3 linked regions of the Stegostoma tigrinum genome follow. The protein of the gene in region 3 interacts with the protein of the main gene of each other region in a biochemical or structural test. Links are inferred from orthologs where the notes say so. Each region holds a gene or a part of one and is shown on either strand. Other genes may lie near its edges.

The links.
Region 1: the proteins of disks large homolog 1-like (region 3) and mtmr1b interact in a test that uses a peptide from one of them, tested with the Homo sapiens proteins (2 studies listed by IntAct, with this or other methods). The link is inferred for Stegostoma tigrinum from reciprocal best matches to the Homo sapiens genes DLG1 and MTMR1.
Region 2: the proteins of disks large homolog 1-like (region 3) and monocarboxylate transporter 4-like interact in a test that uses a peptide from one of them, tested with the Homo sapiens proteins (2 studies listed by IntAct, with this or other methods). The link is inferred for Stegostoma tigrinum from reciprocal best matches to the Homo sapiens genes DLG1 and SLC16A3.

What each region holds. Positions count from the first base shown.
Region 1 is NC_081368.1:14,661,961-14,670,305, forward strand, and holds the start of mtmr1b (myotubularin-related protein 1b), read right to left. Parts: upstream 3,168-8,345; 5' UTR 3,086-3,167; coding exon 2,991-3,085; intron 2,975-2,990; exon of another isoform or gene 2,879-2,974; coding exon of another isoform or gene 2,844-2,878; exon of another isoform or gene 2,795-2,843; intron 1-2,794. UniProt on the Homo sapiens protein: Lipid phosphatase that specifically dephosphorylates the D-3 position of phosphatidylinositol 3-phosphate, generating phosphatidylinositol. Could also dephosphorylate phosphatidylinositol 3,5-bisphosphate to produce phosphatidylinositol 5-phosphate.
Region 2 is NC_081375.1:27,674,753-27,682,519, reverse strand, and holds the start of monocarboxylate transporter 4-like, read right to left. Parts: upstream 3,168-7,767; 5' UTR 2,412-3,167; intron 1-2,411. UniProt on the Homo sapiens protein: Proton-dependent transporter of monocarboxylates such as L-lactate and pyruvate. Plays a predominant role in L-lactate efflux from highly glycolytic cells.
Region 3 is NC_081367.1:52,819,958-52,828,189, reverse strand, and holds the start of disks large homolog 1-like, read left to right. Parts: upstream 1-4,700; 5' UTR 4,701-5,707; coding exon 5,708-5,726; intron 5,727-5,974; coding exon 5,975-6,106; intron 6,107-8,232. UniProt on the Homo sapiens protein: Essential multidomain scaffolding protein required for normal development. Recruits channels, receptors and signaling molecules to discrete plasma membrane domains in polarized cells.

The DNA of each region.
Region 1 (8,345 bases), on a different chromosome or scaffold from region 3:
TGCCAATCAAGCAGGCTGCTTTGTCCTGCATGGTGTCAAGCTTCTTGAGTGTAGTTGGAGCTGCACCCATCCAGGCAAGTGGGGAGTATTCCATCACACTCCTGACTTGTGCCTATCGCAGGATATGCTTTGGGGAGTTAGGAAGCAAGTTACTCGCTTCAGGATTCCTAGTCTATGACCTGCTCTTACAGCCACTGTGTTTCTGTGCTGAGTCCAGTTCAGTTTCTGTTCAATGGATGTTCAATCCCCAGGGTGCTGATAGTAAGGGATTCAGCTTAGCCCTTTATCTCACTTGCTGCTTATATTTTTTGGCATGCAATTTGTTCTGTGCTGTAGCTTCCCCAGGTGACATCTCATTTTTAGATATGCCTGTCCTCCTGCACTCTTCATTGAGTAAAGACTTGACAATAGGAACTAGGAGCAGTGGTAGGCCATTCAGCCCCTCAAGCCTGCTTCACTGTTTGATACGATAGTGGCCGATCTCATCTTGGCCTCAGTTCCACTTTTCTGCTCCCTCTCCATAACCCTGCAACCCCGTACTAATTAAAAATCTGTCCATCTCTTCCTTAAATTTATTCAGTGTCCTGTGAATAATAGTTTTATGAAGCCAGATTGAACAGTTTAGGTCTATATTCTCTGGAGTTTAGAAGAATGTGCGGAGATATGTTGAGGTGTCCTGATATCTAATGCACTTGGAGGTAGTAAATTCCAAAGTCATGGCACTTTGACAGAAGAGATAATGGGAACTGCAGATGCTGGAGAATCCGAGATAACAAAGTGTGAAGCTGGATGAACACAGCAGGCCAAGCAGCATCTCAGGAGCACAAAAGCTGACGTTTTGGGCCTAGACCTTCACTTTGACAGAAGCAGTTTCTTTCTACATGTTTCTGCTACCCCTCAGCCTAAAACTGTGACCCCTCATTCTAGATGGGCCCATATAACGCATCCTTTCCAAATCTACTTTCTCAATCCTTTTTAACATCTTATATACCTCAATATGATCTCCACACATTCGTCTAAACTGCAGACAGTATAGGCCTAAACTGTTCAATCTCTCTTCATAAAACATGCCTTTCATCTCTGGAACTGATCCAGAGAACCTTCTGAGGATCGCTGCTGAATTTCTGTAGATACAGCAGACTACTACTACTGAGCATTGACGGTGGAGCGAGTGGTGGCCTGGCTTGATGATAATGTTGGGAATGGGAAGTCTGGTGGACCAAGGGGTCGTTGATTGTGCTTAAGTAAAATTCTGCCGCTGCTGATGGCCTATAGCACACCCGATGCCCAGTCTTGAATTCCTAGATCTGTTTGCAATCTATCCCCTTCTGCATGACAGCAGTGCCACACAGCATGATGTAGGGTGTCTGCAATACATGATCATGACTTCAGCTACACAAGACAGTTTCTGTTTGACTTCAAGACGACCAGCCAGGCTGCATGTAACAGCTTTGTTTTTTCCTATTTTTACATTGGATCTGGATGAAGTTCGTAACTGCTGTGTCTCCTTGTATGATCACTGCTGAAATCAGTCATCTTCAGCCCATAATTAGTTGTATTTACAAGTCTGCCAATGAGATAAGGAATAAATAACCAGCATAAATAACCATAAACTATTTGCACTGGTTGGGCATTCTAAGACTACACAGTATAGTTTGAGAATTAAGGCTGGATTATTCAAGTGAGAATGTTTAGAAGCACTTTGACACACAAAAGGCATAACTCTCTCTTACGCAAAGGACAATGGATCAGTTGTCAGATTTAAAATCTGAGATAGATAATGTTTTTCTTAAGCAATGGGTATTGAGGAATATGGGACAAAGGCAGGTACGTGGAGTCAGGTTACAGATCAGCAGTGGTCTCACTGAATGGTGGAAAAGGTCCGAGGGGCTGAATGCCCTGCTCCAGTTCCTAATTTACGTGAAGACCGGCTCAAAGCTGCAGGCCGTTTTTTTTGGTGGGTACCTTGATAGGAAAAATAGTTTACATTTAAGTAAAACTGTCCCTCATTGCGGGACCACGACTTCACATAACTTCACCAATTTCTTTCAGCAGCTTCATGAATGGGATGATTTCTACCACATCACCGGCCTGTTCAGAAAATAATTAGACCCAGGAAGGAAAAACATTTGTAATAAGTTGGATTAGCGCAACATTCAAAATGCAATTAATGCAGTTTTCTGGTTAACGTGAAAACATTCATATACAAGTGTTCACATTCCAAAACCAGGAATTGACGACACGGCAATTAGTTCAAAAGACACTGGCCCAAAATGCACCTTCCGACGAGCCTGCAGCCTGAGCTCTCTACACTTTTCCCTGGAATTCACGGCCTCTTGTGTCCCTGTTCCCAACAGCGCAGCCCATCCCAGTGCAAACCCAACCGGGACTCCATGCACCGTGCCCGGGATCCCAATGCAAACCCAGCCGGGACTCCATGCACCGTGCCGGGGCTCCCAACACAAACAGAGCCCGGGATCCGTGCACCGTGGTTGGGATCCCAACACAAACAGAGCCCGGGATCCATGCACCGTGGATGGGATCCCAATACGAACAGAGCCCGGGATCCGTGCACCGTGGTTGGGATCCCAAAACAAACAGAGCCCGGGATCCGTGCACCGTGGTTGGGATCCCAAAACAAACAGAGCCCGGGATCCGTGCACCGTGGTTGGGATCCCAACACAAACAGAGCCCGGGATCCATGCACCGTGGTTGGGATCCCAATACGAACAGAGCCCGGGCTCTATACTCCGCGCCCGGGATCCCATTGCAGAGCCACCGGGCCTCCACGCACCGTGGCTGGGATCCCAATACAAACTGAGCCCGGGGTCCATTCACTGTACCCGGGATCCCATTGCAGATCCAACGCAGGCTCCATGCACCGTGCCCGGGGATCCCGATGCAAACAGAGCCGGGGAAAGTCGTGCTCCACAGGCGCCTGGGCGGCTCCCTCTACCCGCTGGCCCCAGTCCCAGGCCTGGACCCGCTACCTTTCCGGTGAATCCAAGCTCGCTTGCCCGGAGCCAGTGGCCAAGCGCGGTGGCCTCTTTGTGGCCAGGCTCTCGGAAGTGCCCAGCCTGTCCATGGCGGCCGCCTTTTGTTAGAGGCTCGGCCTCGGAAATCCTCTCAGTAACAGCTTCACTCCGGCGCTTCCTCTTCCTGTAGCTGCGCAGAGTCAGAGTTCAGCTGCAGCCAGCGCCGCAAGGAGACCGACACCTGTCAATCACCGGGACATGCACCTGTCAACCACCGGGACATACACCTGTCAACCACCGGGACTTGCACCTGTCAACCACCGGGACATACACCTGTCAACCACCGGGACTTGCACCTGTCAATCACTGGGACTTGCACCTGTCAATCACCGAAACTGACACCTGTCAATCACCGGGACTTGCATCTGTCAATCACCAAAACTGACACCTGTCAATCACTGGGACATGCACCTGTCAATCACCAAAACTGACACCTGTCAATCACTGGGACATGCACCTGTCAATCACCAGGACTCACACCTCTTAATCACTGGGACATGCACCTGTCAATCACCGGGACTTGCACCTGTCAATCACCGAAACTGACACCTCTCAATCACTGGGACATGCATCTGTCAATCACCGAAACTGACACCTATCAATCCCGGGACATGCATCTGTCAATCACCGAAACTGACACCTGTCAATCACTGGGACATGCATCTGTCAATCACCAGGACTGACACCTGTCAATCACCGGGACCCACACCTGTCAATCATCGGGACCCACACCTGTCAATCATTGGGACTGACACCTGTCAATCATTGGGACCAACACCTGTCATTCACCTGGGACCAATAGCTGCCAATCAACAGGCTGACAGCTGTCACTCCCTGAGAATGACAACAGTCAATCAATAGAAGACAATGTTCCCGGCACCATCAGTGTTTTTAAATCTTTCTGATCGTTGAAAATCAGCAGGTTGCCAGCCGTCCATCACTAAGTGATAACCCTGCAGCTGGATGGCCATCTGTCAATCATTGGGAAGGCTGGAGATGCATTAGATTGATGCACAAGGTGCAAGAAAGCATTCTCAAAGTTCAATTTCACTGTCTGGGCCCAGCATTTAATACTCATCCCTAACTGTGTGTGAGGAGGCCATTAGAAGCTAATTTCATGAATTATTGCAGTACTAGTGATTTAGGGACAACCACAGTAGTGTTAGGAAGGGTGTTACTGGGCAGTAACTGAGTAACAGTAAAAGGACTACAATAAATGGTCATGTCCAAACGGTGTGTGACTTAAAGAGCGATTTTCAGGCGATGCTGCTCCTACATACCTGCAGCCCTTGTGCAGGTGGTGCATGTCCTGATTCAGATGATGCTTAGAAGCCTTAATAAGTTAATGCAGTACATTTTTGTAGCTGGTGCACTCTTTGCTATTGTGTGCAGTGATGAAGAGCACAAATAAATAAGCTACCAGTGCCTGACAGTGCCTTTTAAAAACGTAAAGAACTGTGGATGATGTAAATCAGGAATAAAAACAGAAGTTGCCGGAAAAGCTCAGCGAGTCTGGCAGCACATCTGTGAAAAAAAAGAGCTAACGTTTTGGGTCCGGTGAACTGCGGAAGGATCGCCAGACCCGAAATGTTAACTCTGATTTAAACTTATCCAACATTTCCAACTCATTTTCTTGATGGCTTATCCATTAATCAGTGAAGGTTTCAAATCAAGTTTGCTGTTCAATAGGAAAGCAAAGAACACAAACAAATCTGAGGAGGGGATGGACAAACAAAGCAGCTTCGTCCCAGTCCTGATTTTTCTATTGCTGGATACAAAGAGATCCTGGAGATTTTTTTGTACTCACATACCTGAACTAATTTCTTAAAATTACATTCGTAAAATATTGCATATTTTACATTTTTCTCCAGTTTAAAAATTATAAAGAAAATAGCCCAAAAAACTGAAATTGAATGAAACAATTAGCCACACAAGGACCACAAAATTTCACTTACTGAAATCAGATACTACTAGATCATGTCATAAACATCAAAGGGTAATAAAGACCTGCACGTTGACAAAATTAATGTCCAGATAATATTCTAACACAAAAACATGAAGCACACTAACATTCAGCTGTCTAGACAAATGCATCCGGTAATTTTCCTCTTTTCCCAAGCAGACATTTCCTGTAATTTTATATTTAATATAAGTCCAGTGACTGTTGTTTTTGTCAGCTCAGTTAACAGTCATTACAGTTGCACCCCAGGACATTGTTTTGCAGCATGCTCTAGCAAACGTTCCAATTGTACAACTGCATTTTCTCATCACATTGAAATGTCTGACAAATGCTGATAACTTACTACAGAGCACTAATTGTTTCAATTTCATGACTTACTGTGTTGTGTTTTAAAAAGACTTCAATTTCATTATGCATAAATATGCTACTATGATAAGAGTACATGGTAAGCCATTGTAAATAGTCGGTCTGTTACCATTAAACTCTGAACCACCGAGAAGAGTTGGAATTAGAAATAGTATGGCAGCAAGTAAAAAGCATGTTTATACAAACTGAGATGTTTCAAATTCTCCCATGGAATGTAACATTACTTGCATTGTTACCCATCCCTAATTGCCCTTGAGAGGTTGGTCGGCATTTTCTTGCTCAGCTGTAATGCATGTTGTTCAGGTACACCTACCCTGTTAGGAAGTCAAGTTTCAAGATTTTGAACCAGTGACAATGAAGAGGTGATCATATAATTCCCAAGTCAGGCTGGAGTGTGGCTTGCAGGGGAATTGCACATGCTGGTGCTTCTATATATCTGCTGTCTTTGTCCAATGCGGTAGAGCTCACAGATTTGGAAACTGATATCAAAGCAGTCTTGGGGTGGTGCTGCAGTGCATCTTACAATTGATACACGATGCTGCCACTATGTCGGTGATGGAGAGGGTGGATGTAGAATGTGGTGAATATGGTGCTAATCAAGTGGACGAGATGGCTTGGAATTTCTTCAGTGCTGTTGGAGCTGCCCCATTCAGTCAAATGGAAATTGTTCCATCACACTCCTGACTCATGTCTTATGTAGTGTACTGGCTTTGGAAGCAGCAAGTTATCTTGGATTTAAGGAGACTTCTAAATGCAAAATTAAAATTAAATGAATATTTACATTTCATTGTCAACATCATGGTGATTTGTGTATATTTGTTGTGGGTGATGCACAATTAGCAATACAAGCATTATATATTAAACAGCACAATTTGACTATTGAACACAATACTTTAGGGATTGCAAAGTGGTTCAGTCATTAGTATTGTTACCCCACAAAGCCAGAGATTTGTGTTCAATTCCACCCTCAGGCAAAATGGGTCAATTGGCTGAAAAACAGCAGATGGAGCTCAATCTGGTAAATGTGAGGTATTGCATTTTGATACAACAAACCATGGTAGGGCTTACACAGTTAATGGTAGGGTTTTGGGTAGTGTTGTAGAAGAGGGACCTGGCAGTCAGGTGCATAATTCTTCAAAGTTTGCATCACCTATAGACAGGGTGGTTAAAAAGGCGTTTGACACGCTTGCCTTCATTGTTCAGCCCTTTGAGAATAGAAGTGAGAAGTCATGTTAAGGTTGTACAGGACGCTCCTGGAGTACTGTATCTAGTTCTGGTTGACCAGTTACAGGCAGGATATTATTAAACTGGTGAAGGTTCAGAAGAGATTTACCAGGATGTTGCTAGGTATGGGAGGTTTCAGCTCCCCTCTCACGTTACAAAATGTGCTCCCCAGTCTTCAAATCCCACACCCTGGTGGAAAGACAATTACCATTAACCCTATCTTTACCCCTCATTATTTTATAAACTATTATCAGGTCACCTCTCAACCTCCTACATTCCAGTAAGGTTGCAGCCCATCTAGCCTTTCTTTATAACTCAAAGCACGGGTGAAGACAGCAGTAATTGTAGCATACAGTATTCATGCTTTATTATTAAGGGCATATAAGAACAGGAAGGGCATGTTGAACTTATACAGGATACTTGTTTGACCTCAGATGGAATATTATGTACAGTTGCAGGCACCAGGTTATAAGAAAAATGTGCATGCGTAGGGCAGAGTGCAAAGGTGATTCACCAGAATGGTTCCAGGAATAAGTAGTGATATCTTGAAAGGTGTCCATATTACAGAAGGGGAGGTGCTGAACATCTTAAAATGAAGTTAGATAAATCCCCGGGACTTGATCAGGTGTATCACAGAATGTTGTGGGAAGCTAGGGAAGTGATTGCTGGGCCCCTTGATGAGATATTTGTATTGTCAACAACCACACGTGAGGTATTGGACATCTGAAGGTTGGCTAATGTGGTGCCATTCTTTAAGAAAAGCTGTAAGGAAAAGCCAAGGAACTATAGACCAGTGAGCTTAATGTCAGTGGTGGGCAAGATGTTAGAGGGGATTCTGAGGGACAGTTACACACACATGGAAAGGCAAGGACTGATTAGGAAAAGTCAACATGGCTTTGTGTGTGGGAAATCATGTGTCACTAACGTGATTAAGTTTTTTGAAGAAGCATCAAAGAAAACTGATCAAGTCAGAATGGTGGCATTCTCTATATGGACTTTAGTAAGGCCTTTGACAAGGTTCCACATGGTAGACTGGTTAGCAAGATTAGATCGCATGGAATACAGGGGGAGCTAACCAATTGGATACAAAACTGGCTTTATACCCTCTTGATCTTACACAACGATATGCAAATAAAGAATTCATGAAAAATGTTTATCAAGAGTCAACCATGTTGCTGTCAAGCTGGAGTCAGATGTAGACCAGATCAGGCAGATGATGGCAGATTTTCACCCCAGCACTCATCAAAGGAACAATAACAGTAGGACATAGATTTAAATTGCTGTGCAAAGGAATCAAGAGTAATATGAGAAAACAAAACTTGTTCATACAGCAAATTGTTAGAGTGTGGAATGTATTACCAGGAAGTTTAGGGAAGGCAGGTTGATTGCCCAGAACTGAGGAAGGGTCACCAGACCCAAAATGTTAACTCTGATTTTATCTTCATAGTTGACTGCCAGACTGGCTAAGCTTCCAGCAAATTCTGTTTTTATTTCCGATTTACAGCATCCGCAGTTCTTTCAGTTTTGATTGCCCTCTGAAATGGGCCAGCAAATCACTGAGTTCAAGAGTAATTAGGGATGCCCAATAAATGCTGTTCCAGCTAGCAATGGCCACTTTCCTTGAGTGAATATAAAAACGAATGGTCTATTACAAAGTATATTAGCTACCCTGTAGCCCTGCTAAGGCTCAATGGCTCCCGAAGCTTTCATGCTTCAGATGTATAATTTTCATTTTTAAATATAAAATTCTTTTCCCTCGC
Region 2 (7,767 bases), on a different chromosome or scaffold from region 3:
GCCCATGAATTTATTACCCTGAAATGAAGAAACTGTTTATCCAGTATGTCAACAAGGATTGACTCAGTTATACCATAGCCTACAGCCAAACTGATGTCATGATGTTAATATGGTCCAAATTTTATAAATTTTCAGTTCATTCATGGTTGATCATATTGTACCGGTTTGACTTTAAACAAGTAAGCTCTAGTGTTCACAGCATGACTAGCAAAAACAGAAAGAACTGGAAATCTGGCAGCATCTACGAAGAAAAGATCAGAGTTAACGTTTCGGATCCGGTGACCCTTCCTCAGATGTTTTCTTCACAGGTGCTGCCCAGGCCCTCTGAACTTTACCAGCAACTCCTGTTTTTGTTCCCGATTTACAGCATCCGCAGCCGTTTCGGGTTTGTTTTTCAGCCTGACTACCTAGTCACATCAAATTAACACGGTGTCGTGGTGCGACGTGGCTTTGAAACGCCGTTGGGAAGACGGTTTGACCGTTTTAAAAATCAAGGCGCTTTACAAAAAAAACAAAAAAAAATTGCTGGAGAAGCTCAGCAAAATCTGGGCGGCATCTGTGGAGAGAAAGCACGGTTAACGTTTCGGGTCCAGTGACCCATCTTCAGAACGGGTTTTATAAAATGCATTTTCTTTCCCACACGTTAAAAGCCTGAAAACTGTTTTCTGCACGACTGTTCAGGTATGTCTGAGAACAGCGAAGGTGTCTGTAACCACGCGCTCATCTTCAGATTGCTCCGTGTTAATACAAATAGAGTCTTTTTTTCCTCCTCGTTTTAATTCGCCATCCCTGCAGATACTTGTTAACGGAATGAGAAAGAAATGCTGGTCAGCCCCAGGCTAGCCGGTGTTCAGGTGGCAGAGAGGGAGGGCGAGTAAGAGGTAAAAAGGAGGAACAAAAGCATCATCGCCTGCAAGAGGACGTGAGAGACGTGACCTGAAAGAATGAGGCGGTGAAGGGTGCTCTGTCTCCCCGAGAATCATGAGTAATCCGGCGGCGGGGGCGGGGTGAATTACAGCAGGAAAGCGGAAATACACGGAGATAAACCGAGCCGGGGGATGACTTGGTCGGGCTTTTTGTCTCCTTACACAAGGACGCAGTTTCAATCTCCCTAGCAGCACCGAGCTGCAGTGTTTGTGTGACAGGGGCGGGGGGGAAGTCGAAGCTGAGAGCTTTCACATCAAACACAGCAAAATCAATGGGTGGCCCTGGGAAACACGCTCACGGCTCGTCTCCCACTGGCCAGTCTGCTAGGCAAAAGGGTTTATAAATTGGGATAGCAGTTGATCGGAGAGCTTTTTCAGTCCATTACACCTGTAAAGTGTTTTCAATCTATCGAGAGAAAAACAGACAGAAATGAACCCCTTCTATCTCCACGCTAAAACAATGCCATTGATTTTTTTTCCCGGGCCAGTCAGGACAATGGGCGCCTCGGAGGAACCACAAGGCAGTAATGTAATCAAATGATGCGAATACTTAAACAGGTCAAGCACTTTACAAATCAAATCGTTATTTTACTAAAAAGCGTTCTGTAGTGGAAGTAGTTTTACTTGAGGGTTCTAGTTGTCGCAGCTTTTTTCCGTGTACTCCATCGGATTAAGTCTTCGCAGAAAGACAGTGTAAGGTAGATACTTTTTTAAAGTTTGCGGAGAGACATTCTGCAGTTTAGCACAGGCGAGCATCGAGACCATGCTGTGCTGAGCTGGGTCAAATTCAATGAAACAAACGCTTCTCCGGCCATTTCCTCCTCGGGTCGTTCAGCACTGTGACCACCAGCCCATAGGGAGGGGAGGGGAGGGGAGGGGTGCCCACATTAACAAAGACGGACGATTTGTAAGGAGCAGCGAGTATTTCTACCGGCCTCTGGCTCCCGGAACCAACACCTCGCCATTTGCACGTTGTGTAAGATGCTCGTGGTCACCTTCCCGTGAGACGAACCCACTTACCAATTTAAAAAAAAACATCCACCTTGCATATTATCATCAAAATATAGTCACAATTTGGTCGCCGGAGCCCACATCTCACCTCAACGCCCTGCTAAATGCGATTTTTTTTTTGGTGGTGGGGTGAAGGGAAAAAAAATCGAGGATGTGGGCCATGGTATTTCATCTGTTAGACAATGCTGCTGTCAGTAACCTCCAAATTTAAGGTTTTAATAAAAGAGCGAGGATCCAGAATACATATCATCAATACATATACATATCTATGTAGCGCATCTCACCGGAGATGTACAGACCTGCTCACATGAAAGACGGATTTAAACGTGAATTTCGAATACTGAGTATAATTTAAGATATTGATGAGGCACCCTCCACAATATACCCCCCTTTGTGGCATTTGTCTTAGAAAAGGTAACACAGATGACCACAATGTATTCTCGAGTTATGGATTTATAGGCTGCAGGTCCTTACCTTGAGGTTTTAAATTGTTGCTCCCGACACGATGAGATCTGGCTGCCGATGATGCTCTCGCCACGCTCCGCTCTTATTCACACTGCTGCGTCAAGCCGTGTGCTCGCAGCTGGTTCCGCTGGGTCTTAGTGGCCGGACCGTTCATTTCCCATACCTCTCAATGGGATCTGCTCCCGGCCCCAATGATCGTCTCAACTATTCAGAACAAACGCTGTCCGTTCGTTCGAGCGATAAACAGAAGAGAAATTCTTCAGAAAGCGACAGAGAGAGAGAGAGAGAGAGACACGCACACACAGAGACAAAAGGCCCATACTTCCGCCACTTGTCACATATAATGCACTCATACAATCATGAGTTTGGAGCAAGTCAGACAACTTTCTGGCGGAACTTGTTTACCCCTCCCTTCCATATACATCTGAGGAAGATCAGAAATAAAATGAAAGCTTAATGGCGCTACTTCCGGACGTGGGGAGGCAATTGCCTAGTGGTATTTTCGCTGCAACAAAAACAAAGTTGCTGGAAAAGCTCAGCAGGTCTGGCAGCACCTGTGGAGGAGGAAACAGGGTTAACGTTTCGGGTCCGGTGATCCTTCCTCAAGATCTGGATTCGTATCCCGCCACGGCAGATGGTGGAATTTAAATTGAAGAAGGGAAACAAAATGGGTTGGAATCATTGAACTTTGAGTGCAGAAGGCTGTAATTTATGTAAATGAAAGACGAGCTGCTGGTCCTCCAGGTTTTGTTGAGCTTCACTGGAATTTTGCAAGAGACTGAGGACAGAGAGGTTAGAGTGGGAGCAAGATGAGGAATTAAAGTGACACGCTGTTGGAAGTTCAGTGTCACATGTTGGCACTGAATGGATTTGTTACTAACCTCCTTCTAACCTTTAACAATTCGGTCATTCTGCTAATGAGCATTTTCTCTCCCCAGTGAAATAGGAATGCACTGACAGAAATATATGGTGATTCCAAACTATATCATCTACAGCAATGTTACCTATTAGCACGCCAGGTAAAGTTCCTAGGGTTCGACTGAGCTAAGCCCTTGGATGCCAAAATTTATAGGAGGTAAAAATGACCCAGCTGTGCTATCTTCTACATAAATCTTCCAGATAATATCCACCACCCAGCTAACCCAGGTAGTAGCTGTCAATATCGTAACGATAATCAATGTTTACGCTTTCCAGCTTCCAGGCTACAGTTAGATAAAATATACCCTCTCACCCAGTGTTACTCAGTGAAGCAAGCCAGTGACTGATCTGCCAGAGCAAATTCCTTCAGAACATTAGCAATATTAGAGTCATAGAGAAATACAGTGTGGAATTGTTACAATATTTTAGAATTCTATTGTACAGCTGGCTTTACATGAATACAAGGAGCAAACAACTGTATGTACATAGCCAGCAGAGTCTATACTGTCAACATAATGGTGTAAATGGATAGGAAGAAGTATTACTCAATGTCCAACTGGTCTTTCATTATCCAAACAAATTTATGTTGGTCAATGCTACCCAGTAATTTACATGATGCACTCGTCTTATTTTACCAATCATCTGTGGCAATTTTATTTGAGGGGAATGTTAGAGTGAATCCCCAAAGACCCTGGACAATAACAAGAAAAGAAAGTGCTGGAGAAACTCAACACACCTGTTCAGAGAAAAACAGGTTTGTTTGACTCCAGCATGGCTGTCAGATCTGCTGCGTTCCTCCGGCACTTGCCATTTTTATTTCAGAACTCCAGCATTCACAGCATTTTGCTTTTACTTGAGTGTTTAACTCACTGCCATTTCACCTTGTGTGCTCATTTTTAAAAAGCTCTGCCATTGACTCTGGTAGGATTTCTGTTATAATCTTTCAGCTTGTTCACCTTCATTACTTTCTACTTTCCTTCTAATGTTTGATAAAGTGTCAAAAGTTACTTTCACAGCTACATCCCCTTCTTCAGTAACTCTCTGGCTTCACCATACCCCACACAGTTTCCAGTTGAAGTTCCATCCTTTATGTTTCAAACCCACCCAAGATTACAGCAATCTCTGATACATGCAACATTCCTAAAACAACTGTTTCTGCCACATCTTCAGATCCACATTCAATGCTATGCACCACCACATGCACACTCTCAGCTTCTCTCTTCATCAGCACCACCTCCCAATATCTCAAAGCTGTCCCGGTGTCCAAATCCATTTTGTTCTTTGTCTCATTCAATGCTTAAACAAAGAAAAATTCTCTTCTTTTCAGGAGTTAAAGAATGCAAGTTCCAGAAATTCCCAGGTACTGATGCCCCTCTGGAGTTCTAATTACCTCCCTTCCTCTCCAACTCCATCCCTTCTTGCAATCCCCTGTCTTGTCATTTAATTGCTACACTCCTTGACCTACCCCTGGTTGATGCTGAATAATCTGTGCTCAGCAAAGGTCATAATTTTACACTGCCACCTGAAAAAAATTCAGGCATGACATGTAACTGAATTCTTCTGTAATCTGCCTTCATGCCACTTCTTCTAATCCAGCCCCACAGATCCTTTTGTCAGTCTTCAGAATGGCTTCTCCACCTCGATCAGTCCTTCTGACCTTTTACCTGAACTTGATCTCATCATTGAGAACTGGAGTTCCAAAGGAAAATTATGCTGGACTTGAAATACTAACTCTTGTTTTTACCTCTTCCCTTGCTTGATATGTCCAGTACTTTCATGGATGCCAACTAACCAACAGTGCTGTTAGTTCTCTCCTTGATTCATAGCATGGGGCTTATGTTCCCTGCCTTAAAGCATTTCACTCCTTGAATTCTCCAGCATCATTTTACTGAGTAAACACTTTGATGCCCACTTCATATTTCAAATGTTCAGCTGTCTCCTAATTCCGGTTAATTAGGTTGACCTAATTGTTTAGGGGATTAGTGTTTCTCCATTTTCATTGAGTAGGAAACTTGCGCAGTTGGCAGCAGACAAGCTTCAGTGACTTCTTCCAAAAATATTTGTCATACACAGTCAATTCAGGAATGGCACAAGAATAACAATTTCTATAATTTAATATCTGTTGCCCATAAATATTCAAAGAGAGCCACTGGTTATTGGAATGTGGAGTTGAAATCATAATCGCATTAGCCATGATCTTACTAAACAGCAGAAAAGGCTTGAGGGGCCTTGTGGCCCAATTCTGCAGCTAATTTATATGTTTGTATTCCTGCACATCCACCATGGATGAAAAGCATGATTTACAGCAAGGCTGTTCCAAAACCTTAGTCTTCTTAGTTTAAAGCCATGGTTTCATATTTGTAGGAATTTCAGAAAGTGAAACTGTAGATTTCAGAAAGCTTTTTTGGCAATTACATTTTCTGGTTTACTCCCAACTTTTGTATTTTTCATATACAAGATATATAGCCTACATGGTTGATGGGGGATATCGGCAGTGGTCTGTGAGTTCATTATGTTTCTCATGATCAGACGTCAGAATTGTGTCTGCTTGTACTTGTTAATCTACTGACACATTCAATAGATTTGACATTTTCCATCAGCCTGTGAAATACAGTGCAATTGTGGAAAGTAGATTCATGAAAATTAGTTACTGTTATGAACAGAACTGATGGTTTTTGAAACAAATAGTTTGAATATTGAGAATTTGATTCTGGTTTTACTTTAAGACAGGGAGTTATATAAAATTACAAACTAGATTTTTAGGGTAATGAGACCAGAGGTTGGAAATCATGAAATAATAGAACTTTTATAAAACAGAATCAGGCCATTCAGCTCATCATGTCTGTGCTATTCTCAGCACAGGCAATGCTGTTAGTGCCACTCCCTTGCCGTCTCCTGTAGTACAGACAGATTTTTTTTTGTCTTAAAATGTCTATCAAACTCTTCTTTCCAGCAGTAATTGAATATGCCTTCACCAAACTTTCAAGACAGTGTTTCAGATCCTAACCATTGGCTGATTTAAAAGATTTGACCTCCTGTTATTGTTTGCCATTCACCTTAAAAGTGTTTTCTGATTCTCAATTGATACTTTTTTTTTCATTCGTGGGCCATGGGCATTGTTGGCTCACCAGCATTTATTGCCTGTCCTGAACTGTCCTTGAGAAAATGGTGATGAGTTGCCTTCTTGAAACACTGCAGTCTATATGCTAAAGGTTGAGGCTTTGTAGCAATTGATTTAACTGAGTAGCTTGCTAGACCATTTCAGAAGGCAGTTGAAAATCAACCACATTGCAGTGGGTCAGGAGTCACATATAGGTAAGACCAGGTGAGGATGGTAGATTTCCTTGCCTGAAGGATATGAGTGACCCAGATGTGTTTTTCTGGTCGATCAGCAATAGGTTCATGGTTGTCATTAGATTCTTAATTCCAGATTATATTTTATTGAACTCAACTTCCACCATTTGCTGTGATGGGATTTGAACCTGGGTCCCCAGAACATAAGCTTCTGGATTAATACTCTTGCAATAATATGACTAGGCTATTATCTCCCCATGTTTCTCCCTATGGGAAGAGTTTCTCCTTATCTGCTGTGTCAAGGCCTGTCATGATTTTAACACATTTATCAAATCTTCTTTCAAACTGCCCATCTCTGGTGAACAATGCCAGCTTCTCTAATCCATCCACTTAATTGAAGTCCTTTATCCCTACAATCATTCCTTAAATCTTTTCTGCACCTTCTCTGAAGCCTTCATATTCTTCCTGTCATTTGACAATCAGGAATTTAACCAAATACTCCAGCTGTAACAATTATCGGGTATTCTCCCTACTGGTCATTAAAAAAATGGTTTGCCCATGTTGCCTTTGCCAGACTTAAGTTCTTGACAGAACGCATCTACCTTGAATCTGTGTGATTTAAGACAAGAAATTTACAAATGTCTTAATCCAGCAGCTGCTAGAGAAATATCATGAACAATGGAAAACTGAATATGTGGCCTTCGCTGACGTCAACAAGACATCCGGCCAGTTGAGCAGAGCTGCCCACAGAAGCTGTTCGATGTGATCTCCTTTTTCCATGGCATGATGGGTAAGGTCAACTTTGAAAGGTCAACATCAGAACTCCTTGAGATCTGCAGTCGGGTCACAAGACATTCTGTTTTGGCATTGACAGTCTTTGGCGTATTCTTCTCCTGTGCCAGTCATATGCTTTGAGATTATCTACACACGGTGTCTACTTCAATATCAGAAATTATAAACCTATTCAGCCTTGATTACTTGAGAGATCTTAATCTCAATTCAGTGACACCTTTGCAGAAGTTCCCGGGGTAATGTCCTAGCTCTAAACAGCCTCATCAATGACTGAAGGTTCTGAGTCCTAATGCAGCCAGACCTGGACAAAATCGTGGCTTAGGCTAATAACAGGCAAGTAACATTTATGCCACACAAATGC
Region 3 (8,232 bases):
AAAATCAAGACTCCAGCAGTGATCCGTGTGGCATTCCATTAATTATGCCGTCCTGAAAATCATGATTCATTCGTAAGCATATAGGGGCAGTGACTCAGGCAGAAGCAGGGATGGATGCTGATTGAGCTGGAAGGAAGAATGAATAGTGATTGATTTGGAGGCAGTGAACAATAATGATTGATGTGGAGCCAAAATCTGAGGATGGTACTGTACCAGATTAGGAGGAAGGGAAAGAAATTGAGTGGGAACCAGTGAATAAGAAAGGGACAGTGATTGAGTTTTGAGGCAGGCTGTGTGAGGGAGGGTGTTGGAAAGGGCCAGTGAGTGAGTTTTCAGACAGGGTGAGAGGGTGGGACAGTGAGTGAGTTTTGGGGCAGGGTGTTGGGGAGGGACAACGAGTGAGTTTTGAGGCAGGGTGTTGGAGAGGATGGCGAGTGGGTTTTGGGGCAGGGTGCCGGGGAGTGACGGCGAGCGGGTTTTCGGGCAGTGCGCCGGGGAGGGACGGCGAGCGGGATTTGGGGCAGTGCGCCGGGGAGGGACGGCGAGCGGGATTTGGGGCAGGGCGCGGGGAAGGGACGGTGAGCGGGTTTACGGGCAGTGCGCCGGGGAGGGACGGCGAGCGGGATTTGGGGCAGGGCGCCGGGAAGGGACGGTGAGCGGGTTTTGGGGCAGGGTGCCGGGGAGGGACAACGAGTGAGTTTTGAGGCAGGGCGCCGGGGAGGGACGGCGAGTGGGTTTTGGGGCAGGGCGCTGGGGAGCGACAGCGAGTCGGTTTTGAGGCAGGGCGCCGGGGAGGGACGGCGAGTGGGTTTTGGGGCAGGGCGCTGGGGAGGGACGGCGAGTGGGTTTTGGGGCAGGGCGCCGGGGAGGGACGGCGAGTGGGTTTTGGGGCAGGGCGCCGGGGAGGGACGGCGAGTGGGTTTTGGGGCAGGGCGCTGGGGAGGGACGGCGAGTGGATTTTGGGGCAGGGCGCCGGGGAGGGACGGTGAGTCGGTTTTGGGGCAGGGCGCCGGGGAGGGACGGCGAGTGGGTTTTGGGGCAGGGCGCCGGGGAAGGACGGCGAGTGGGTTTTGGGGCAGGGCGCTGGGGAGGGACGGCGAGTGGATTTTGGGGCAGGGCGCCGGGGAGGGACGGCGAGTGGGTTTTGGGGCAGGGCGCTGGGGAGGGACGGCGAGTGGGTTTTGGGGCAGGGCGCTGGGGCAAGACGGTGAGCGGGTTTTGGGGCAGGGTGCCGGGGAGGGATGGCGAGCGGGTTTTGGGGCAGGGCGCCAGGGAAGGACGGTGAGTGGGTTTTGCGGCAGGGCGCCGGGGAGGGACGGCGAGTCGGTTTTGGGGCAGGGTGCCGGGGAGGGATGGCGAGCGGGTTTTGGGGCAGGGTGCCGGGGAGGGATGGCGAGCGGGTTTTGGGGCAGGGCGCCAGGGAAGGACGGCGAGTGGGTTTTGCGGCAGGGCGCCGGGGAGGGACGGCGAGTCGGTTTTGGGGCAGGGTGCCAGGGAAGGACGGCGAGTGGGTTTTGGGGCAGGGCGCCGGGGAAGGACGGCAAGTGGGTTTTGGGGCAGGGCGTCGGGGAGGGACGGCGAGCGGGTTTTGGGGCAGGGCGCCGGGGAGGGACGGTGAGCGGGTTTTGGGGCAGGGTGCCGGGGAGGGACGGCGAGTCGGTTTTGGGGCAGGGTGTTGGGGAGGGACAACGAGTGAGTTTTGAGGCAGGGTGTTGGAGAGGACGGCGAGTGGGTTTTGGGGCAGGGTGCCGGGGAGGGACGGCGAGCTGGTTTTGTGTCAGGGTGCCAGGGAGTGATGGCGAGCGGGTTTGGGGCAGGGCGCCGGGGAGGGACAGTGAGTGAGTTATGGGGCAGGGTGTTGGGAAGAGACGGTGAGTGAGTTACAGGGCAGGGTGTTGGGGAGGGACGGTGAGTGAGTTACAGGGCAGGGTGTTGGGGAGGGACGGTGAGTGAGTTACGGGGCAGGGTGTTGGGGAAGGATGGTGAGTGAGTTCTGGGGCAGTGTGTTGGGGAGGGACGGTGAGTGAGTTTTGGGGCAGGGTTTTGGGGAGGGACGCTGAGTGAGTTATGGGTCAGGGTGTTGGGGAGGGACGGTGAGTGAGTTTTGGGGCAGGGTTTTGGGGAGGGACAACGAGTGAATTTTGAGGCAGGGTGTTGGAGAGGACGGCGAGTGGGTTTTGGGGCAGGGCGCCGGGGAGGGACAGTGAGTGAGTTATGGGGCAGGGCGCCGGGGAGGGACGGTGACTGAGTTATGGGGCAGGGTGTTGGAAAGAGACGGTGAGTGAGTTACGGGGCATGATGTTGGGGAGGGACGGCGAGTGAGTTACAGGGCAGGGTGTTGGGGAGGGATGGTGAGTGAGTTCTGTGGCAGGGTGTTGGGGAGGGACGGTGAGTGAGTTATGGGGCAGGGTTTTGGGGAGGGACGGTGAGTGAGTTCTGGGGCAGGGTGTTGGGGAGGGACGGTGAGTGAGTTCTGGGGCAGGGTGTTGGGGAGGGACGGTGAGTGAGTTCTGGGGCAGGATATTGGGGAGGGACGGTGAGTGAGTTATGGGACAGGGTGTTGGGGAGGGACGGTGAGTGAGTTACGGGGCAGGGTGTTGGGGAGGGACGGTGAGTGAGTTACGGGGCAGGGTGTTGGGGAGGGACAGTGAGTGAGTTACGGGGCAGGATATTGGCGAGGGACGGTGAGTGAGTTACGGGACAGGGTGTTGGGGAGGGACGGTGAGTGAGTTACGGGGCAGGGTGTTGGGAAGAGACGGTGAGTGAGTTACGGGACAGGGTGTTGGGGAGGGACGGTGAGTGAGTTACGGGGCAGGGTGTTGGGGAGGGACGGTGAGTGAGTTACGGGGCAGGGTGTTGGGGAGGGACGGTGAGTGAGTTACGGGGCAGGGTGTTGGGGAGGGACGGTGAGTGAGTTACGGGGCAGGGTGTTGGGGAGGGACGGTGAGTGAGTTACGGGGCAGGGTGTTGGGGAGGGACGGTGAGTGAGTTACGGGACAGGGTGTTGGGGAGGGACGGTGAGTGAGTTACGGGGCAGGGTGTTGGGGAGGGACGGTGAGTGAGTTACGGGGCAGGGTGTTGGGGAGGGACGGTGAGTGAGTTCTGGGGCAGGGTGTTGGGGAGGGACGCTGAGTGAGTTACGGGACAGGGTGTTGGGGAGGGACGGTGAGTGAGTTACGGTGCAGGGTGTTGGGGAGGGGCGGTGAGTGAGTTACGGGGCAGGGTGTTGGGGAGGGGCGGTGAGTGAGTTACGGGGCAGGGTGTTGGGGAGGGACGGTGAGTGAGTTACGGGGCAGGGTGTTGGGGTGGGACGGTGAGTGAGTTACGGGGCAGGGTGTTGGGGAGGGACGGTGGGTGAGTTACGGGGCAGGGTGTTGGGGAGGGACGGTGAGTGAGTTACGGGGCAGGGTGTTGGGGAGGGATGGTGAGTGAGTTACGGGGCAGGGTGTTGGGGAAGGATGGTGAGTGAGTTCTGGGGCAGTGTGTTGGGGAGGGACGGTGAGTGAGTTTTGGGGCAGGGTTTTGGGGAGGGACGCTGAGTGAGTTATGGGTCAGGGTGTTGGGGAGGGACGGTGAGTGAGTTTTGGGGCAGGGTTTTGGGGAGGGACAACGAGTGAATTTTGAGGCAGGGTGTTGGAGAGGACGGCGAGTGGGTTTTGGGGCAGGGCGCCGGGGAGGGACAGTGAGTGAGTTATGGGGCAGGGCGCCGGGGAGGGACGGTGACTGAGTTATGGGGCAGGGTGTTGGAAAGAGACGGTGAGTGAGTTACGGGGCATGATGTTGGGGAGGGACGGCGAGTGAGTTACAGGGCAGGGTGTTGGGGAGGGATGGTGAGTGAGTTCTGTGGCAGGGTGTTGGGGAGGGACGGTGAGTGAGTTATGGGGCAGGGTTTTGGGGAGGGACGGTGAGTGAGTTCTGGGGCAGGGTGTTGGGGAGGGACGGTGAGTGAGTTCTGGGGCAGGGTGTTGGGGAGGGACGGTGAGTGAGTTACGGGGCAGGGTGTTGGGGAGGGACGGTGAGTGAGTTACGGGGCAGGGTGTTGGGGAGGGACGGTGAGTGAGTTATGGGGCAGGGTTTTGGGGAGGGACGGTGAGTGAGTTCTGGGGCAGGGTGTTGGGGAGGGACGGTGAGTGAGTTATGGGACAGGGTGTTGGGGAGGGACGGTGAGTGAGTTACGGGGCAGGGTGTTGGGGAGGGACAGTGAGTGAGTTACGGGGCAGGATGTTGGCGAGGGACGGTGAGTGAGTTACGGGACAGGGTGTTGGGGAGGGACGGTGAGTGAGTTACGGGGCAGGGTGTTGGGGAGGGACGGTGAGTGAGTTACGGGGCAGGGTGTTGGGGAGGGACGGTGAGTGAGTTACGGGGCAGGGTGTTGGGGAGGGACGGTGAGTGAGTTCTGGGGCAGGGTGTTGGGGAGGGACGGTGAGTGAGTTCTGGGGCAGGGTGTTGGGGAGGGACGGTGAGTGAGTTACGGGGCAGGGTGTTGGGGAGGGACGGTGAGTGAGTTACGGGGCAGGGTGTTGGGGAGGGACGGTGAGTGAGTTCTGGGGCAGGGTGTTGGGGAGGAACAGCACTGGAGTTTCAAATCTTGGGTGAGCTGCTCTGCAGCATCACCGCAGCCTTCCTTAAACCTGGGCCCCGCCCCCCGGTCGGCCTGCTCCCTCCTGATTGGCGGGCGGCCGGTCAGGTGGTGGAGATTCGCCGTCCCGGTCGCCATTTTGGGGGAAAGTTTGGGATTTTTCTGGCAGTGACTGGGAAGAGGAGTAGTAGCAGTTGTTCGCCGGGTGGGAGGGAAGCGGCGGCAGCGAAAGTTTGTTTTTGGTGGAATCCGGAAGAAGAGGAGTGGGAGAGTGTGTGCCGGTGCCGGTCCGGGGGCCCCACCTCTCGGGGCGGGGAAAGGAGGAGGAGGCGGTGGGTCACTGGCGGCGGTGAAGGACTACAACTCCACGGGGAGGCAAGAGAGCGCAAGCCCCGGAGCCTGTAACTCGCCTGACGGGGAGGCAGCCAGAGAGTCGGCCCCTCTTTCGGGCTGGCGGGGTGTGGGGCAAGGCCGCCGCTTGCTGCATCCCATACCGAGGAGAGAGGACACAACCCCCCGCCCCTCCAACTCTCTTTTCCAAGAATCAAAACAACCGACACCCAGCAAAGGGATCCACTGGACGACCCTGAGTGTTAGGGGCAGAGACCAGGACAGTCACTCTCAAGCTCAGCGGAGAGGATCCACTCTCCCCAGTTGGTCTCCTGCAGTCACCTTGAACAAGTAGGACAAGCGAGCAGTGACCGGGCAAGATAACCAGCAGAAACGTTCTGATCAGCGAATCGGTATTCCAGACTGGGCAAGAGGAGAGAGTCAGGATGTGGTCCTCCTGAGGCCAACACTTTACAAACCGGTCAGTCTACTTCAGGAAGGAAGGATTGACTGATATCGGAAAGAAACCAAAAGTGTCTCTCAAACAAGCCTAAGCCTGTTTTGAAAGGAAAAAAAAATTGATTGTCAGTGAAACTGATTGCACTAAATATTTACACATTTCCTTGAGTCGGAGCGAAAAGTTGGGATCCGGTGTTTCTGGCAGTTTATCGGGACCGTTTGAAAGCGCAGAAGAAAAGATCCTGTCTCCGGAGACTCTTAGACTCCGGAGGACAACTTGGAATTGAGGGAATTACCAACTGGGAGCTTTAACCTGTGAAGGAAATCTGAAACAGGAGGATGCCGGTTCGAAAGCAGGGTGAGTTTCAGCATATTAAATTTTGCAGAAACATTTTAATAAAAGTTTTTAAAGTCCGCTAACACTTTGTATTTAGCACCATTGCCACGAACTTTAAGACGAACCGATTTTAACGAAGGATATCTTTGTCATTTTCTATCAAGTGCTAAAAGCTGGGCAAAGATGTAGTAGCTCCAGGAGTTGTTACGGGATCGGTCCAGTAATGATCGTTAAATGTGTGATTATTTTTGCCCCTTGTCTCTGCTCAGATGCTCAGCGAGCTCTGAAGCTCCTGGAGAATTACCGTGCCAAGCTCGGCAAGACTGAAGACCGTCAGCTCCGTGCCTCCATCGAGCGAGTTATCAATATATTCCGCAGTAATCTCTTTCAAGCATTAATAGGTACGTACATAGACCGCTCGATATCTAGTCGTCTTCTTACTTTTTGAGGTTAACAGCAGCGTCGGCCGATGAGAGCTGTTAAAATACCAATGGGTTGTTCTGAACATAAGGACTTAAATATTCTGGACAGAGAAACAGGTTTGACGTTTTAACAACGCGGGAATGCCTTGGCTTTTCTATATCCGATTACGAAATCATTCTTTCTCCTTAAGCTGACAACCTGTTGCCTTGCGATTCTGTGAATCACGGAGAGGCGAGAAAGCGGGAATAGTCGAACAATGTAATTGCGAATATTTGACAGACGTTGTCGCGTCATTTTAAACCCCGCAACACTGAAATGAATGCCAGCGCCAGTGCAGCATTTCTAATGAACTCTGCTTATAGTGTTGAACGATCAGATTACAACTTGATGTCAGTGTACATGATGCGATTCGGGAGCAGTTGGGCGGTGAACAGGAAGCCTTATGGAGGAAGGGGCGTGATTTATGAATGTAAACAGTTTCGGCTGTGTGCGGCATCTGAGTTGGACACGTGTGGAGGTGGTACTGAGGAAAGTAGATACCGAATCGGTACGATATGACATTTTAAGGAAAACCGTATTGATAACTACGGATTTTTAAGTGGAAATAAGGATAGTGGGAGTTGCGTTAAAATTCTGGGTGTCAATTTAGATTTTGCAGAGTGGGAAATCCTTTTCTGATTTCAAAACTTATTGACATTTTAATCAGAAGTCCACACTCTTGTTAGAGAATAGTGCAGTTGATTAAAATCGTTTTGATGGGGAGGAAGTAAAGATAATATTGTAAAGAAAATGATCCCTCGACATCAGCTGTAACCTAATTTGCGTTGAACTTTAAAATACATAATTAAAATAATTGATATTTTATTCATGTGGGATGTGAGCATGCTGGCAAACATATTTATTGGTCAAGCCAACACTACTTAATGGTTATTAGTACTGATTTCAGTGATATGAGGCACCTTTTCACTGTTATAATTCTATTAACAAAATAAATGTAAAAGGTCCAGTGACCGTCAAAGGTTAATCTTTCAAGTGTTCAGTAGCATACCACTAATGCAAATAGCTCTGACAAACTAAGGTTGTGTTGTAGTATTGAATTGTCATTGTCAACAAGATGATACTGGTATGTAGTAGGTCTTATTGGTTATCAGAGGTTTCAAATGTACTGTGTATATGCGATCCCCATCCAAGTACAAATTTAACTACAAAGAGAGGCAAATGATTGAAGTATAATGATAGTTTAAGTTGTTCACACATAAACTGCCTGTCTGGATAGTAGGATCCTCTAGCGTACGGATTAGATCCATCGGGAAACCTACTGATCTGCTTGCCAGCAGCAAAGCAGTAGTGAATTTTTGAGAAGTTGTGCAGCTAGCGTTTTTTTCAATGATTTTTGTTTTGTCTAAATGGCAAACACATTGGGCTTTTCGTAAAATAAGAAATATTCCATATAACTGATGTCTAAAACATCTGTACTTTCTGTTGTTCCCCTTAATACCTCCCCATTAAATACCTTAAACCACTATCGTCAGCTGCTCAAGTTGGAACTAATGTCCGCACACGTTGTGCATCACTTTTTTTCTTAATCTTTTTGTACGTTTGTTTGCTTTCTCCCTTTCCAAAATTCCTGTCTACTCTCTTGCTGAGATACTGATTATATTAGGGCTGGAAACACTCCAAACACCTCAGTGACATTGGATGCATCTTTCATAGTGTAGTTAAGCCTCATTAATATTTGTATGTACACGTTTACTAGGAATGAACTTTTGATAGTGCCTGAGCATGGAGATATTACTTTTTCTACCTTATTTAGGTTGTTGAGGAAAATTTTGGGATTTTACCCCTAGCCCAGCTAAAACTGACTGACTAGCGTAGAATTTCTCCAGAAAGTGCATGTAAATAGACTCCAGATGATAGTGACATGAGTTTGTTGTAAATGTGTACATTGATTTTTTTCAAAAACTGTTTCATTAGAAATAATTGAAATTTGGTTGTGCAGGAAATAAAAATAAAGCTGAAACGATTGTTTGGATTAACAAAGACTTATAAATGGTGTGCTGCACATTATTAAAAGTTGAAAGAACTGTTAATGCTGTAATTCAGA